Linked DNA regions of Stegostoma tigrinum. The protein of the gene in region 2 interacts with the protein of the main gene of each other region in a pairwise test. Links are inferred from orthologs where the notes say so. Each region holds a gene or a part of one and is shown on either strand. Other genes may lie near its edges.

The links. The genes of interacting proteins can lie anywhere in the genome.
Region 1: the proteins of traf3ip1 (region 2) and frmd4a interact in a two-hybrid assay, tested with the Homo sapiens proteins (2 studies listed by BioGRID and IntAct). The link is inferred for Stegostoma tigrinum from reciprocal best matches to the Homo sapiens genes TRAF3IP1 and FRMD4A.

The regions. Positions count from the first base shown.
Region 1 is NC_081378.1:4,102,922-4,110,301, reverse strand, and holds the start of frmd4a (FERM domain-containing protein 4A), read right to left. Parts: upstream 3,004-7,380; 5' UTR 2,733-3,003; coding exon 2,574-2,732; intron 1-2,573. UniProt on the Homo sapiens protein: Scaffolding protein that regulates epithelial cell polarity by connecting ARF6 activation with the PAR3 complex. Plays a redundant role with FRMD4B in epithelial polarization. May regulate MAPT secretion by activating ARF6-signaling.
Region 2 is NC_081360.1:20,757,330-20,764,933, reverse strand, and holds the start of traf3ip1 (TRAF3-interacting protein 1), read right to left. Parts: upstream 3,029-7,604; 5' UTR 2,944-3,028; coding exon 2,821-2,943; intron 2,808-2,820; exon of another isoform or gene 2,481-2,807; intron 2,475-2,480; exon of another isoform or gene 2,142-2,474; intron 1-2,141.

The DNA.
Region 1 (7,380 bases), on a different chromosome or scaffold from region 2:
TAAGGGGACATGATACAGCAAACAATGCAGCTGTGGTTAAAGAAATAGAAGCCTTCTCTCTCTTTTCTGTGAAAGGAAGAGGGGAACACTCAATCCAAGAAGTTGCGGGGGGTGGGGGGGGGGGGGGGGTGCGGCCAACTAGATTGAAAATCACATCCCTAACGCTGAGCAGCAGCAAAAACCAAACAGTGTGAACTTGTCTGAGGTGCGAGGCAGCTGAGAACCAGCAATGGGGACAGAACAGAGGCAATGTATACCAATAGTACATGGACCTGAGAGGACATGGTCCAAGGAGAGTAGATGGACTGTAATATTGCACTTTTCACTTACAGCAGCATCCTGCTCTGTTCCTGTCAGGAAATCTGCTGTCGTGGTGCCACACCTGCCTGGGTTACCCCATCCTCACACTCCATTGTAGCTCATCTGGAACTGTCCTGTGATATCATCATCCAAAAATGCTAAGGTCTAACTCTCTTTCAGCTGCCTTGCATTTTACCCTCAAAAACCATCTCCATGGCTTCTCAGCTTTGATCAAACAACCGAAGTGTTGACATTTTCTTTTCTGGATGATACGTTTTATGAGCTCTTTTTGCTCTTGCAAATTCAAACATCGCTTCATTTGTTTCAGCAATATAGAATTTTAAGCAAACACCTTAGCATCTAAATTTTAAAAGCCTCTGTTTACTTCCACAGATCATAGAATCACAGAATACCTATGGCGTGGAAGCAAGCCAATCGGCCCGAGTCCACACTGACTCTCCAAAAAGCATCCCACCCAGGCCCATCCCAGCCCCCTACCCTATCCTTGTAACCCTGCATTTCCCATGGCCAACCCACCTTAACTTGCACACCTTTGGACTGTGGGAGGAAACCAGAGCACCCGGAGGAAACCCACGCAGACACTGGGGAGAATGTGCAAACTCTGCACTGACAGTCACCCGAAGCATTTTATAAGTTCCTTCCTTGTTTCATCTTGATTAGCAGGAAAACAAAGACTTTAACATTTAGTAAATGTGGAAGAATGAAGACCAGGTGCAAGGCTATCATCAGAACAAAGTCAGCTTCCCAGCAGACTATCCACTAATGGATGAGGAATTGATTTGCTTATATTGTGTACTGAAAGAAGATGTCACTTTGTGTTCCCATTTGAGCTGCAGGAACCAGGGGTTACGTTTGCAGTGCAAGTGGGATTGCTTTATCTGTAACCCTCTTTTAGAGGGTATCTCCTGGATATCTTCAAGGAAATTACTGTCAGGATTTTACAAGCTTTCTTTGTCTACCAGAAACTGAAGTGGGAGACAATCTCTATCTCAAGTGGAGAAAACAACAGTTTGTTCTGAAGAACAGGCATATTGAATTCAAAATATTAGCTCTGCTTCTCTCCCCACAGATGCTACCAGACTTGCTGAGCTTCTCCAGCACTCTCTGCGTTGACAAACAGAGGACACAGGACCCAGGGACCCTTCTATGGTTTGATGCTTGACAATGCAAGATGTCACCAATACTTCCGGATGTGTAGAGGACCTTTCAGCTCAGGTCCCTGCTCCTTCTGCAGTGTATTTAACAGGCATATGCACATCTTCAAATGGTCAATACCTGGCGGCAGAAACTGGACACTGCTGACCTTTGTTAAGCATGTAAAGTGGCTGCAATAAAACCCAATTTTATCCAACCTCCTTCCAATAGATTCTTGAGGGGTTGTCTCCAGCCAATTAACACGTGTTAAACCCTGCGTTATGTGACCGAGGGCCTGAAGTCAGAAAATTGGTGTCTCAAAGACTTGAGAAGATGCTGCTCTGACTGATGCCCCATTCCCTTCATTGAGTGAGGACACAGTGCAGAAACCGGCTCATGGCTACATGGTGCAAGCTTCCTATCATTTACTCATCTGAAGCCGAGACAAACATTCTTTCACAAGGGTACAGGAATGAATATATATTTGTCAGCGGAGGGGTTCAATGCATGTTTTTAAATCGCTAATGGCGAGTGGAGAGGAGCAGAAGTGTTTGTCCCAATCCATGGCTTCCTCACCATCAGTAATAGCACCTTCCCATGGACCACAGCTCCCCCTCCCCAGCCTTCATCTCAGGTTCAGAGAAGGGTCACCTGCAAAGTGTGAGAGATTCCAGGATCAGCATTCAGCTGTTCCGTTACCAACTCCCTCGGCTTTAGGTTCAACAAAAAAAAATTGAATTTCAGATTGTCGATTTACTGAAATAGCTTTGACTTTCCACATGTATTTTATCACTATTGGCCATCAGACTTTAAATTGGAGGAGGTGGATTCTGTTAAGAATTTATTTACTTGCTAAAGTCTTTTACATACAGTGCAAACTAACTTCAAGGCAATAAAGTAAAACAAACTAAAGCAGACTGTACCTTCAATAATATAGCCCCCTGCCTCAAATGAACTTTAAGCAAAATATGCTATTTTTAATTCTTAAAATTCAGTCTATATCCCTTTCGATAAATAAGTACTAGGGTAGGCTTTGCAGAAGCTGTGCTGTGTTTAACACAGTATTGACCTAAGCATAGCCAGTCAGTACAGTTCTGGTACTAAGTGAAATTCCCCACCTGGTAAACATTCCGGGAGACACACCATGGTCTCAGGAGCAGCTGAACTGCACGGAGATTACCAAACCGCCAATTCCTCAGAGCTCGGGCTGTAAAGTTCCAGACCAGACTATCCCAGTTATACAGCAAATCTTCAAAGCTGAACAAAACTGTAGCCATTGAATCACAATTGAAACCCCGTCGAGTTCAAAATGATTCTCTTGAGTTTTGCTCCCCTGTCAGTACTGCAAATTGAAAACGACACTCAAAAGTTTTGCTTTTACTTGGTTTTGCAGTTTCTGGAGCCAAAGGAAGAGGGATGAAGCCAACATCAACTTTTCTTCTTTCCCATAAGAAGTGCTCCTCAGAGAGCTCAGGAGTGTGCTGTCCAGAAAGTACAAACACAGTGCAACTTCAGGTCCAGCAATACATCTTCAAGTTACACAGATGAGAAAAAGCCTTCATTCAAGTCTGTCATAACAAACAAAAGGCTACTCCCAATGTTCACTTCTTTTCTGAATAGGAAAGAAGCACTAATGAGTTCAGTTGGGTTGTGTGACTGCCAGAACTGTGTCTCGGGAAAAATTAACTCTCAACGTTGTTTTTCTGCCAACATTCCCTTGACATTCCATTTTACTATTTAGGGTCAATGGCACCAAGTACCTTGTATACACAGAGCCCCAGTAAAACAGAGCCAACAGATTGTTCTCAATCTGCATTCGAGATTAATCTCATTTACAAAATAACCTGAAAATGGCATATCGCTTTCACTGTAAAGACGTTACAGCCTGGTTGCTGAAATTAATTCTTTCTTAATTGCATTCAATCATCATCTGCTTCCTGTTCCTGTCGGCCAATCAACTTTGACATTTCCTAAAATATTGGCCGTGAAATGTTACATGAAATTCCACTTCTGAAGATGGCCACTGGCTTCAAACACTAAGATAACCAGAAGTTGAAACTGAAATATTCTGTTTCATGTTCACTTGATAGAGAGCAGATCTAGACTAGGGAGGAAAAATAATTGACATTCTTATGTGAAAATGAAGTTGACATGTGCACGAGAAAGTCACTATTATCTGGTGATCAACTGTCAATATGTTTTGCCCTGGAGAATATATAGTGTGCAATTTTACAAGAGTATGTGCACTGCTTATTAAAGATTTTTATCATTACGTTATAAACCAATTACGATTTCCAATTAAATCTCTAATCTTCTTTCAAGTAATTATTTCTGAGGCAAAGATTTCAAAGAAGTAAATATTAATCTTACCGCCAGTTATTAATAAAATAGATTTGCATTTGTACAACACTGTTAGCGGATACATGTTCTAAAGCATTTCATAACCAGTGAACTGTTGCCATTTGCACATAGCAAGCTCCCACCAACAAAATGGCCAACAAATCTACTTCTGTTAGGAAAACCAAAAATCTGCAGATACTGTAAATCAGAAACAAAAGCAGAAGTTGCTGGAAAAGCTCAACAAGTCTGGCAGCATCTGAGGAGAGAGATCAAAGTTAACGTTTCGGGTCAAGTGGCCTAACTAATCTTAAAAAACAAACCTGCCCTTATTCGAACCGCATCCCTCTGTTCTCTCTCTGTTCATGTAACCATCCAGAAGCCTCTTAAATGTCGCTAATGTGCCTGTTTCCACCACCTTTTCTGGCAGTGCTTTCCAGGTTCCTACACTCTCTGTGTGACAACTTCCCTCGCACATCTCCCTTAAACATTCCCCTCTCACCTTGAACCTGTGCCCCACTGCAAATGAAACTTCAGCCCAGGGAAGAAGCCTCTGATTATCCACCCTATCTACGCCTCGCATAATTTTGTAGGCCTCTATCAGGTCACCTCTCAGCTGCCATCTTTCCAGTAAAAACAATACGAATTTTTTTGATCTTCCTCATGGCCAATGCCCTTGAGACTGAGCAACATCCTGGTGAACTTTCTCTGCGCTCTCTCCACGTCCTTCTGGTAGTGTGGTGACCAAAGCTGCACACAACGCTCCAAATGCAGCCTAACAAAGGGTTTTATAATCGCTGCAACATGGTTTGCCAACTCTTGTACTCCATGCCCTGGCTGATGAAGGCAAGCATGCCACATGCCTTCTTCATCACCTTGGCGACCTGTGCTGCCAACTGGATTCCTTGCACCTTGTTCAAAGGGGATGGCTGCTAGTTTTATTCTTCTCCACAAGAAGAAACAATCTCTATCTTATTATTGCCTTTCATCATTTTACAGAGTTCCGTTAGCTCACTTTACAGCTTTCTTTTTTCTAGAAAGACAAGATCCAGCCTGCCCACCCTTCCCTGATTCATGTACCCGTACAATGTTGATTGTTGTATGCATTAAAGAATCAACCAATGCCAGGGAAGCTTTAGGTTAACATTCTGCACCAATTCTCCTTTCTACAAAGAGTCTACGAGCTTGTATGGTTAACAGGATAAACCTCTCTGGTGAATCTTAAAAAGAAGAGGCTTATCAGGAAAGATTAAACAAGTTTGACCCTTATTTATTAGAGTTTAGAAGAATGAAGGGTGATTTTATTGAAACATACAAGGCTATGGGCCAAGTGCTGTAAAATAGGAGTGGAATGGTTACGTGCTTGTTTATGACTGGGGCAGACTTGATGGGCTGAAGGGCCATTTTCCTGTGCTGTAGACCTCTATGACCTCTATGAGGGGTCGTGATAAGTAGATGTTCAGAAGAAGCTTCTACAACAAGGGGAATATCAAACTAGGAAGGAAGGGAATTTTGTAAAGGAATGTCTTCTCTCAGAAGGGGTAGTGAATGCCTGGAATTCTCCACTTCTGAGCTGTGGAGGCTAGATCGCCAGAAGTGTGTGAAAGGGTTGGAGATGGGTGTTTGAAATATTGGGGAGATAAAGGCCTTGAGGAGTTAGCACAAAGGAAGAGTTGAGGCCTGGGGTTTAATTTATTTGTAGAGTTTTTGTAAGTTTATAGAATGGCAGGGAAGGGCTGAATGGCCTGCTTCTGTTCTTATTTCTTATCTTTGACAAATTTGGAACTGCCCTCAGTGTAAGACAACCAGTGTTGAGTCAATTGTTAAATTTTATTAATCAGAGACTGATTGGATTTTAGCCAGAAGCATTAAGGTAGGTTTGGCAAAGATGGATGCATGGATTTAACTCAGAGATCAGGGTAATCTCACTAAATAGTGACAGAGACAAACTCGAAAGACTGAACACCTCCTTCTCTTCCTGTGAACTGCATCTACATGTCACTGGATAAATGCTTCACAAACCCATATTGATTCATTCTCCATTACAGATCACTCCTGACCAAACAGCAGCTTAAGAGTGTCTTACAACAGATTATTACCAGTACAACCTTTGTTCAAATCTCCGACCCAAACCATTGTTACATTAAGTGAAAGCATGAATCTTCCAAATTGTAATTCCAACTTTGAGAGAATTCCTGGCCATCCCCTTGTATATGCTGCGGTCATTTTGACACATGGGAAACTTTAGAACAAACTGACCTCAAACATTAACTGCTCAGGCTAAACATTCTGAGCGCTCTACCAGTGTCTGTGCTTCTCCTAAAAAAAACTTCTATTAACTCTAAAGCCAAAAGGTCCTGTGACATAAACAAACAATCCAACCTTCTGCCCGGAAAATCTCTGAAATTGATTAGATTGTGCTATTCTGGGTTTTCTCCCAAACACTCAGCAATGTCAGGCTGGGAGCTATTTCCAGACACTTTTCCCAGTTACATATGTCAGCCCATGAATATTTTCCATTTATTTGCAAGGAAATAAGAGTCAAGGGTTAGCTGCTATTGGCAATCAGAATTATTTTTAGACAGAATAAAATTGCAGCAAAAAAGAAGTGACCAATACAGAGACAATTAGAGACGCGACTGAATTTTCGAGTGAATACCTGAGTGAGCATATGCGATTCTTTTTCATGTCTGAATGCGCTGATAAAGTATTTGTTATTAAAAACTATTTCATTCCATTATGCCAGAACTTCTGTTCATTATTTCTCTTCATCACTGGGCTCAGTGGTTAGCACTGCAGCCTCAAAGCACCAAGGACCTGGGTTCAACTCCACCCTCGGGCGACTGTCTGTGTGGAGTTTGCACATTCTCTCTGTATCTGTGTGGGTTTCCTCTGGGTGCTCTGGTTTCCTCCCACATTCCAAAGATGTGCAGGCTCGGTGGATTGGCCATGCTAATGCCCTGTAGTGTCTGGGAATGTACAGGCTAGGTGGGTTGGTCATGGAATGCAGAGTTATGGGGTTAGAGCTGGGTCTGGATGGTTTGCTGGGTCAGTACAGATTTGAATAGCCTCTTTCTACACTGCAGGGATTCTATTACTGCTCTCATCTGTATTTTTTGACAGAAGCCTACACAATACTTCTGGCCTTCATTGTTGGACATGGAGAGCCGTTTGTAGAGATCCAGTGGGTGGTCATTGTCTTCCTTTCAAACCTGTTAAAGTCCATTCCAGGATGTGCGGACACCCTAATTGGGTGGCCGGGGAGGGTAGAGTGTGGTGCGAAGGTTTGGAGTGATAGGCAGTCTGGGGGTGATGTGTGGGCAAGTTTATGCAGCCCCTCAAAACCTTGATTTCACCTGAGCACCTTCCTGAGGAAGGCTCTGAAGGTGCTCAGGGCCTTCCTGAACGAACTTCCTCTGCCTCAAACGATCATAAGCCATGGTGGGGAGGGGGGTTGGTGTTTGGCGGGAGGGGGGGGGTGGTCTGACTTCTTCAGCGATGCTTTGAGCACATTCTGGTGCGTTTTCCAGGTCTTCCTGCAAGGGCTGTCCTGTTGCGTCCGGGTTCCGGAGCTGCTTGCAAAGTGTG
Region 2 (7,604 bases):
AGGTTGTCTCAGAGTACAACAGGATCTTGACCAGATGAGCCAATGGGCAGAGGAATAGCACAGAGTTTAATTTGGATAAATGCGAGGTGCTGCATTTTGGAGAGGCAAATCAGGGCAGAACTTATACACTTAATTGTAAGGTCCTGGGGAATGTTGCTGGATGAAGAAACCATGAAGTACAGGCTCCTAGTTCCTTGAAAATGAAGATGCAGGTAGATAGGATAGTGAAGAAGGCATTCGGTATGCTTGACTTTATCAGTCAGTGCATTGAGTTGGGAGGTCATGTTGCAGCTGTACAGGATATTGGTTAGGCTACTATTGGAATATTGTGTGCAATTCTGGTCTCCCTGCTATGAGAAAGATGTTGTGAAACTTGAAAGAGTTCAGAAAAGATTTACAGGGATGTTGTCAGAGTCGGAGGGTTTGAGCAACAGGGAGAGGCTGAATAAACTGGGGCTATTTTCCCTGGAGCATCAGACACTAAGGGGTAACCTTACAGAGGTGTATAAAATCATGAGGGGCATGGATAGGGTAAATAGCTAAAGGTCTTTTCCCTGCGGTGGCAGAGTCCAAAACTAGACAGCATATGTTTGAAGTGAGGGGAGAAAGAAGTAAAAGGGATCTAAGCAGCAGCATTTTCACACAGAGGGTGGTGCACGTATGGAATGAGCTGCCAGAGGAAACTGTGGAGGTTGGCACAATTACAATATTTAAAAGGTATCTGGATGGGTATTTGAATAGGAAAGGTTTAGAGGGACATGGGACTAGATTTATTTAGGATACCTGGCCAGGACGGACAAGTTGGACTGAAGGGTCTGTTTCCATGCTGTACATCTCTATGACTCGAAGTTAAGTTTTAGTGAAGATGCCACCCAGGTTGACAGGGTTGTTAAGGCGGCATAGTGTTTTAGCTTTTATTAATAGAGGGATCGAGTTCCAGAACCACGAGGTTATGCTGCAGCTGTACAAAACTCTGGTGCAGCCGCACTTGGAGTATTGCGTACAGTTCTGGTCACCGTATTATAAGAAGGATGTGGGAGCTTTGGAAAGGGTGCAGAGGAGATTTACTAGGATGTTGCCTGGTATGGAGGGAAGGTCTTACGAGGAAAGGCTGAGTGACTTGAGGCTGTTTTCATTAGAGAGAAGGTTGAGAGGTGACTTAATTGAGACATATAAGATAATCAGAGGGTTAGATAGGGTGGATAGGGAGAGCCTTTTTCCTAGGATGGTGACGGCGAGCACAAGGGGGCCTGGCTTTAAATTGGGGGGTGAAGGATATAGGACAGATGTCAGAGGTAGTTTCTTTACTCAGAGAGTAGTAAGGGTATGGAACGCTTTGCCTGCAATAGTAGTAGATTCACCAACTTTAAATACATTTAAGTTGTCATCGGACAAGCATATGGATGTACATGGAATAGTGTAGGTTAGATTGGTATGACGGGTCGACACAACATCAAGGGCCGAAGGGCCTGTAATGTGCTGTAATGTTCCATATTCTATGTTCTATGTTCTAAGTATACATGGAACAATGAGTACATTGTGTGCAGGGCACTACATGGGCAAAAATCAATCTTCAGTCATCATTTTTATAGTTAATGGAAGTCGAGAACCAGCACCAGTCACATATGTCACATTTAAAGCAATAAAGATGCATTACAGGAACAAAGCAAAACTCTATGCTAAGCCACATAAAATATTAGGGCAATGGTCAAAGCGTTAGGTTTTGAGAAAGAAAGTGATAGGAATGTTGAAAGGATGCTTGTCCTTATGGGAGAGTCTAGAACTATGGGGGACAATTTAAAATATGGAGCTCTCTCATTTTAGACAGATGATGAGATTTTAGATTAATACAGGATCAAAAGTTACCAGGTTGGTACAGGTGAATGTGGAGTTGCTGGCACACCAAATTAGTTTTGATGTTATTGAATATTGGAATAGACTTGCAGAGCCAAACAGCCAGCTAAAATATTCATAAAAGGTGCAGAAGATTAAGGATGGTCTTCCAGAACGTCAAGTCTTAGCAGCCGTGACGCAACCACTAATGGCTGCGCAATCAACACTGGAGCTGTTGAAAGAGTAGAGATCAGAATTAAAGGAGCGCAGAGCTGGACGCTGAAGCCTTTCGGAAGAAAGGTCCCTACCCGAAACGTCAACTCTCCTGCTCCTCTGATGCTGCCCGGCCCACTGTGTTCCTCCAGCTCCACACGATGTTATTTCTCACTCCAGCATCTGCATCTTATTATCTTAGAGGAGCGCGGAGCCTGTACATCATGTGGCAAAAGGAGGCCACGGAGAGAGGCAATTCCACGAATAGATTTGAAAGGATGAGAATTTTAAAATCGTGGCGTTGTTTGTGCAGGAGACAATGTAGATCAGCAAGCATATGGGAAATAGAGGAAGGGCGCTTTAATTGAGCTCAAGACAGGAAAAGCGGTGTTTCGGATGCCTTAACTGTGAAGAGGATTGATTACGAGTATTACCAGATGTGTTGAGTTTGCCTGTTGTCATGAACAAGCATCCGTTTGAGCAGAAACATACTGCCATCGTTCAGAACTACTGAAAGATTCCACAAGAGGGTCCTTGTCCTACCAAAGGTAGGGGATTTGAGCCATCCACATAGAAACGGTACATTGGAAACTGACCCGCACACAAGCTTCTCAAGGATACTTAATATTCCTTGTTGGCTGCGTTGTGATAAAGGCGGGTCCCCGGGCGGATGTGCGCGACAACTAAGGATCGGAGCAGGCGATTGAGTCCCTAGCAACCAGGGTCGCCCCACCGGGCCTTGTCTCAGTGCTCGGGGAACTCGTCGGCGCTCACCTCGGTGAAGATGTCGTGCAGATAGCGGAAAGGCGGCTTGCTAAGCAGCTTCTCCGTCAGTGGCGGCTTCTTGATCACTTTTCCCAGGGTGTCCTGGGTCCGTCTGACGAACGGGTTGCTCATTGCGCTGGGTCTCTCCTCTGGGTCGGGATAAACTGATCCAACCAGGCCGTTCTCAGGCCCGCTCCACCAACCGCCGCCGTGCGCGACTACGTCACTAACGCGTGCCAACTTCGGCGTGACGCGGCTGCCTAGCAACAACCGCAACAGCGCTGTCAGCTGACACACTGCGTCCTTCCCCCAACCATTCATTCCCCACTCAGACCGTTTCCTTACCGTTTTATCAATATTCATTTAGGCATAGGTTTAAGGTGAGAAGGAAAAGATTTGCAAGGGACTGAAGGGGCAAATTTTTCACGCATGGATGGAGTGAACTGCCAGAGGAAGTGGTGGAGGCTGATACAATGACAACATTTAAAAGGCAATCTACATGGTTATATGAATAGGGAGGGTTTGGGATATGGGATGGCAAATGGGACTAGATTAATTTAGGATATCTAGTTGGTGTGGAAGGGTTGGACCGACTCTCTGTTTCCATATGGATCAAATTGGTGCCACAAGCATGGAAATTAATTCACATCCAGCTGGGATGGATTCAGAACCTGTCTATAATAAAGATGGGTGTGCCTTCAGCAGAGAGAATAGGGGAAGAGAAAGCAAACTTTCTGACTCCATTACAAAGTATGAGATGATTTCATTCATTGCTTAAATTTTACACTTCCAACATAAACATAAGTTAGCTTTTAATTGTGATTAACTCCAAGCTTACAGAGATAATAGGACCTGCGATGCTGGAGAATCTGAGGTAACAAGGTATAGAGCTGGATGAACACAGCAGGCCAAACAGCATCAGAGGAGCAGGAAAGCTGATGTTTCAGGACCCAAAACGTTAGCCTTCCTGCTCCACTGATGTTGCTTGTCCTGTTGTGTTCATCCAGCTCTGCACCTTGTTATCTCATTAACTCCAAATTTGTTTGAATTGAATTAGTTGAAATGAATATCAGTTTCTCAATCAGATGGACCATTCATCTGCAACTAAACTCAAATTTCCAAAACAAAAGTTATATTCTAAAACATATGAATAATGAACTAGATAGTCACATTGTATTAACCTATAAAGTGTATAATTAAGTACCATGTATGTGATTATATAAAGAATCTGAAGAAGACATATCATTTTAAAATTGAGACATGAAAAATACCTCTCATTAGCTAATTGAAGAGCATTATTCTTTTCAAGGAGGAGGTAAATATAGTCATGTGGCTAAAGAGAGCAAGGGATTTGGGGGAAGAGGGTGAGATTAGCCTACTGAGTCCAATGATCAGCCCACGAGGGGGTTGAATGACCTACTCCACTCTTCTTTGTTTCTACAATCTCTAGTGGTCAAGAAAAACATAATTAGTACCAATCAGTATTTTAATTGGAATTGTTCCCCAAGGAAAAGCACAAAATTTATAATTTGTTTACAGTTAAAAGCTTCAAGTGAAATTTGTTGTCTCAAGTATGATTGAGGATGATCATCACATGTAAACCCAGTCTAACAACAAAAAATGCTGTAAATACTCAGCAGGTCTCATAGTATCTGCAGAGAGAGAGGCATTTAACAGTTAACAGTTTAGGTTGTGACCTTTCAACAGAACTGGAAAAGGTTAGAAATATAATGCAGTATCTGTTGAAAGGTGAAAAGAGGAAGAATGGAAAAAGAACAAAAATGTCTGAGATGGGTTAGGGGTTACAAGATATATTAAATGACGAAAGATTTTGTGGGTAACAGCTAGAGGGAGTGGTAATGGTACAAGTAAAAATAATGTCCAGAGGATGTACAAATGTATACTGTCAAAGTTCTGCTCCAATACTCCGCTATAGGGCAACAGAAAGCTCAAATTGTATTTTTGAATCCAAAATAATTTTGATAATGAGCTCAAACCTAAAACACTAATATGTGATTCTTCCTAATGCATGTTGATAAACTGGCTGTGTTTTTCAAATATTATCTGCAGGAACTTTTGAATTCAGGAATTGAGGTTTCTGTAAAGATGAGTATACAATCAAAGAATGCAATAGCTGTTCAAGTCCAAAATGACTCAAAATTAACTCTCTCTCTCTCTCCCACTCCAAAAGATGCTACTAGATATGCTGAGTTTCTTCAGTGCTTTGTTTATTTCAGATTTCCAGAGTTTACAGCATTTTCCTTTTACCTTGGTTTTGGTATAACTTTAGCCAGATCCCTCCCCAATTCTTAATGGTACTGCCATATTGAAAACCAAATACTTGGCTCTTGCTCTTTGCCCTGTACCAGTTGTTCAAAGCAACTTTCTCCAACTGGCTATGCAGTACCTAACCCCAGGATACACACACCAAAACAGTGTGATGACCTTAAGTTCTGAAAATTCTACCCTGAACGAAAGTTGTTCCGAGAAAGTGGAAAGTAGGAAACAGAAGCTGAAGAGCTTGGACTGGGAAGAAGTTGAGAGAACGGTAAGCATCTGAAATTAAGAGTTGAAAATTATAAATGTTATTCTGGTAATAAAATCTGAAAACAAACATATGGTCAATAGATTTGAATAAGAAATTATATTATTTGACCATTTAGCTTCGGATCAATTGAAAGAGTGATGGAATGAGCAATCAAAACAGTAGTAGGCAATTGTTTGACCAGATAAATTTCAGATAAAGAAACTTCATTAAATCCATCAAAAATAAATGTTGGCTGAACTTTGTTACACTAAATAATACACTAAATAAAACATACTGTAAATGGGAACAAGAACAAAGTTGCTGGAAAAGCTCAGCAGGTCTGGCAGCATCTGTGGAGGAGAAGAGAGTGTTAACGTTTCGGGTCCAGTGACCCTCAGACTGAGGAAGGGTCACTGGACTCAAAACGTTAACTGGTTTCTCATCCACAGATGTTGCCAGTCCTGCTGAGCTTTTCTAGCAACTTTGTTCTTGTTCCTGATTTACAGCATTCGCAGTTCTTTTGGTTTTTGTACTGTAAATGGGCACTGGAAAAATTCAAATGCTGCATTATCAACATTAACTTTTTCTAAGCAGGAACTGAGTCACAAATAAATATTTTAGAACTTTGAATTTAGCATTTTTTCCCTCAACAAAGCATTTTCAATGATTGAGGTGGTGCAATCCTTTCATGTGTCAATGAAAATTTTAATTGTGTGTAAATACATAATCACAAAAAGGTTGTTCTGATTTTCTTCACTTTAAAGGCTGTGTTGAAAAAGTGTATGCCAACTGCACTAATAAAAAACAATGCAAAAGAAATTAAGTAACAAAACAGGACGTTTGTGCAAGGCAAAAGGAAATAGCAACAAGACAAGAAACAAAAGATGGGTGTAGAAAAGGTGTAAACAGAAAATACAGAACATATCTGCAGCTGATCTCTTTTTAACTAAGAAGCAGTACTGAATAGGAAGGAAAGAATGAGAATCAAGGGTTATGGGGAGAAAGCAGGTAATTATTGAGAAATAGCTGATCACCATGACTTCTTTCAGTAGCAGAGCAGATAAGATTGGTTGAATGGCCTACTTCTGTTCTTACATCCTTTGATTTCGTGGAAACTTGCACAGGTGCCAGTACACATAACTGCAGCAATAAAACCTTTGGGTTCCAAAAATAAAATCAAAAAGACTCCGCACTCCAAAGAGCAGCAAGCACAAAACGTTCAATAGCTGAAAATAATCTGATTATTTCATTGATAATGGGAACTGCAAATGCTGAAGAATCCGAGATAACAAAGTGTGGAGCTGGATGAACACATCAGGCCAAGCAGCATCTCAGGAGCACAAAAGCTGACGTTTCGGGCCTAGACCCTTCAATCACAAAACGGGTAGGGAGAGGGGGAGGCGGATCGAAGATGGTACAGGAGAAGATAGGTGGAGTGGAAACAGACAAGTTAAAGGGGCGGGGGTGGAGCCAGTAGAGGTGAGTGTAGATGGGGAGGTAAGGACGGGGATAGGTCAGTCCGGGGAGGGCGGACCGGTCAAGGGGGCGGAATGAAGGGTCTAGGCCCGAAACGTCAGCTTTTGTGCTCCTAAGATGCTGCTTGGCCTGCTGTGTTCATCCAAGTCCACACCTGATTATTTCATGCTTTGGTTCCCTCTTTGTTGAGAGATTATATTGTCACTGACTTCCGAATTTTAAAAATAATCCTAGCTGTTACTGGTGTGAACGATAAACACAAAAAAAGTGTTTATCCCTTTTCCATGTTATTATAGCGGTAGGAAGATTACACCCGCCCGCCAATTCAAACCAATAACCTCGCTTTCCTTTGCCACGATTGGACGGATATGTATGATTGACGGTGGTATAGCCCAAACAGATTGTGGACGGAGTATCAAAATAAACTACTAACGCTTACTAAAAACCGAAAGAACCGCAGATGCGATAGATCAGGAATAAAAACAAAGTTGCTGGGAAAGTTCAGACGGCCCAGCAGCATCTGTGACGGAAAAAACAAAGTTAACGTTTCAGGTCCAGTGACCTTCCTCCCCTGACGCTTTCTATTTGGCTTTTGCGTGTGATTGACAGGAAAGTAACCCAATCCAAAGAGACGACGTGCTGACGCGAGCGTCCGTGTAATGAACGTGGAACAAGTTTGACCGTCATTAGGAGGGTGGGAACAAAACCCGGCCCTGCTTTTATTGGACTGCCATGCGATTGATGGCGTGGCTTGTCTTATGGGTGGGAACTGTGTCGCTTGGCCTTATTG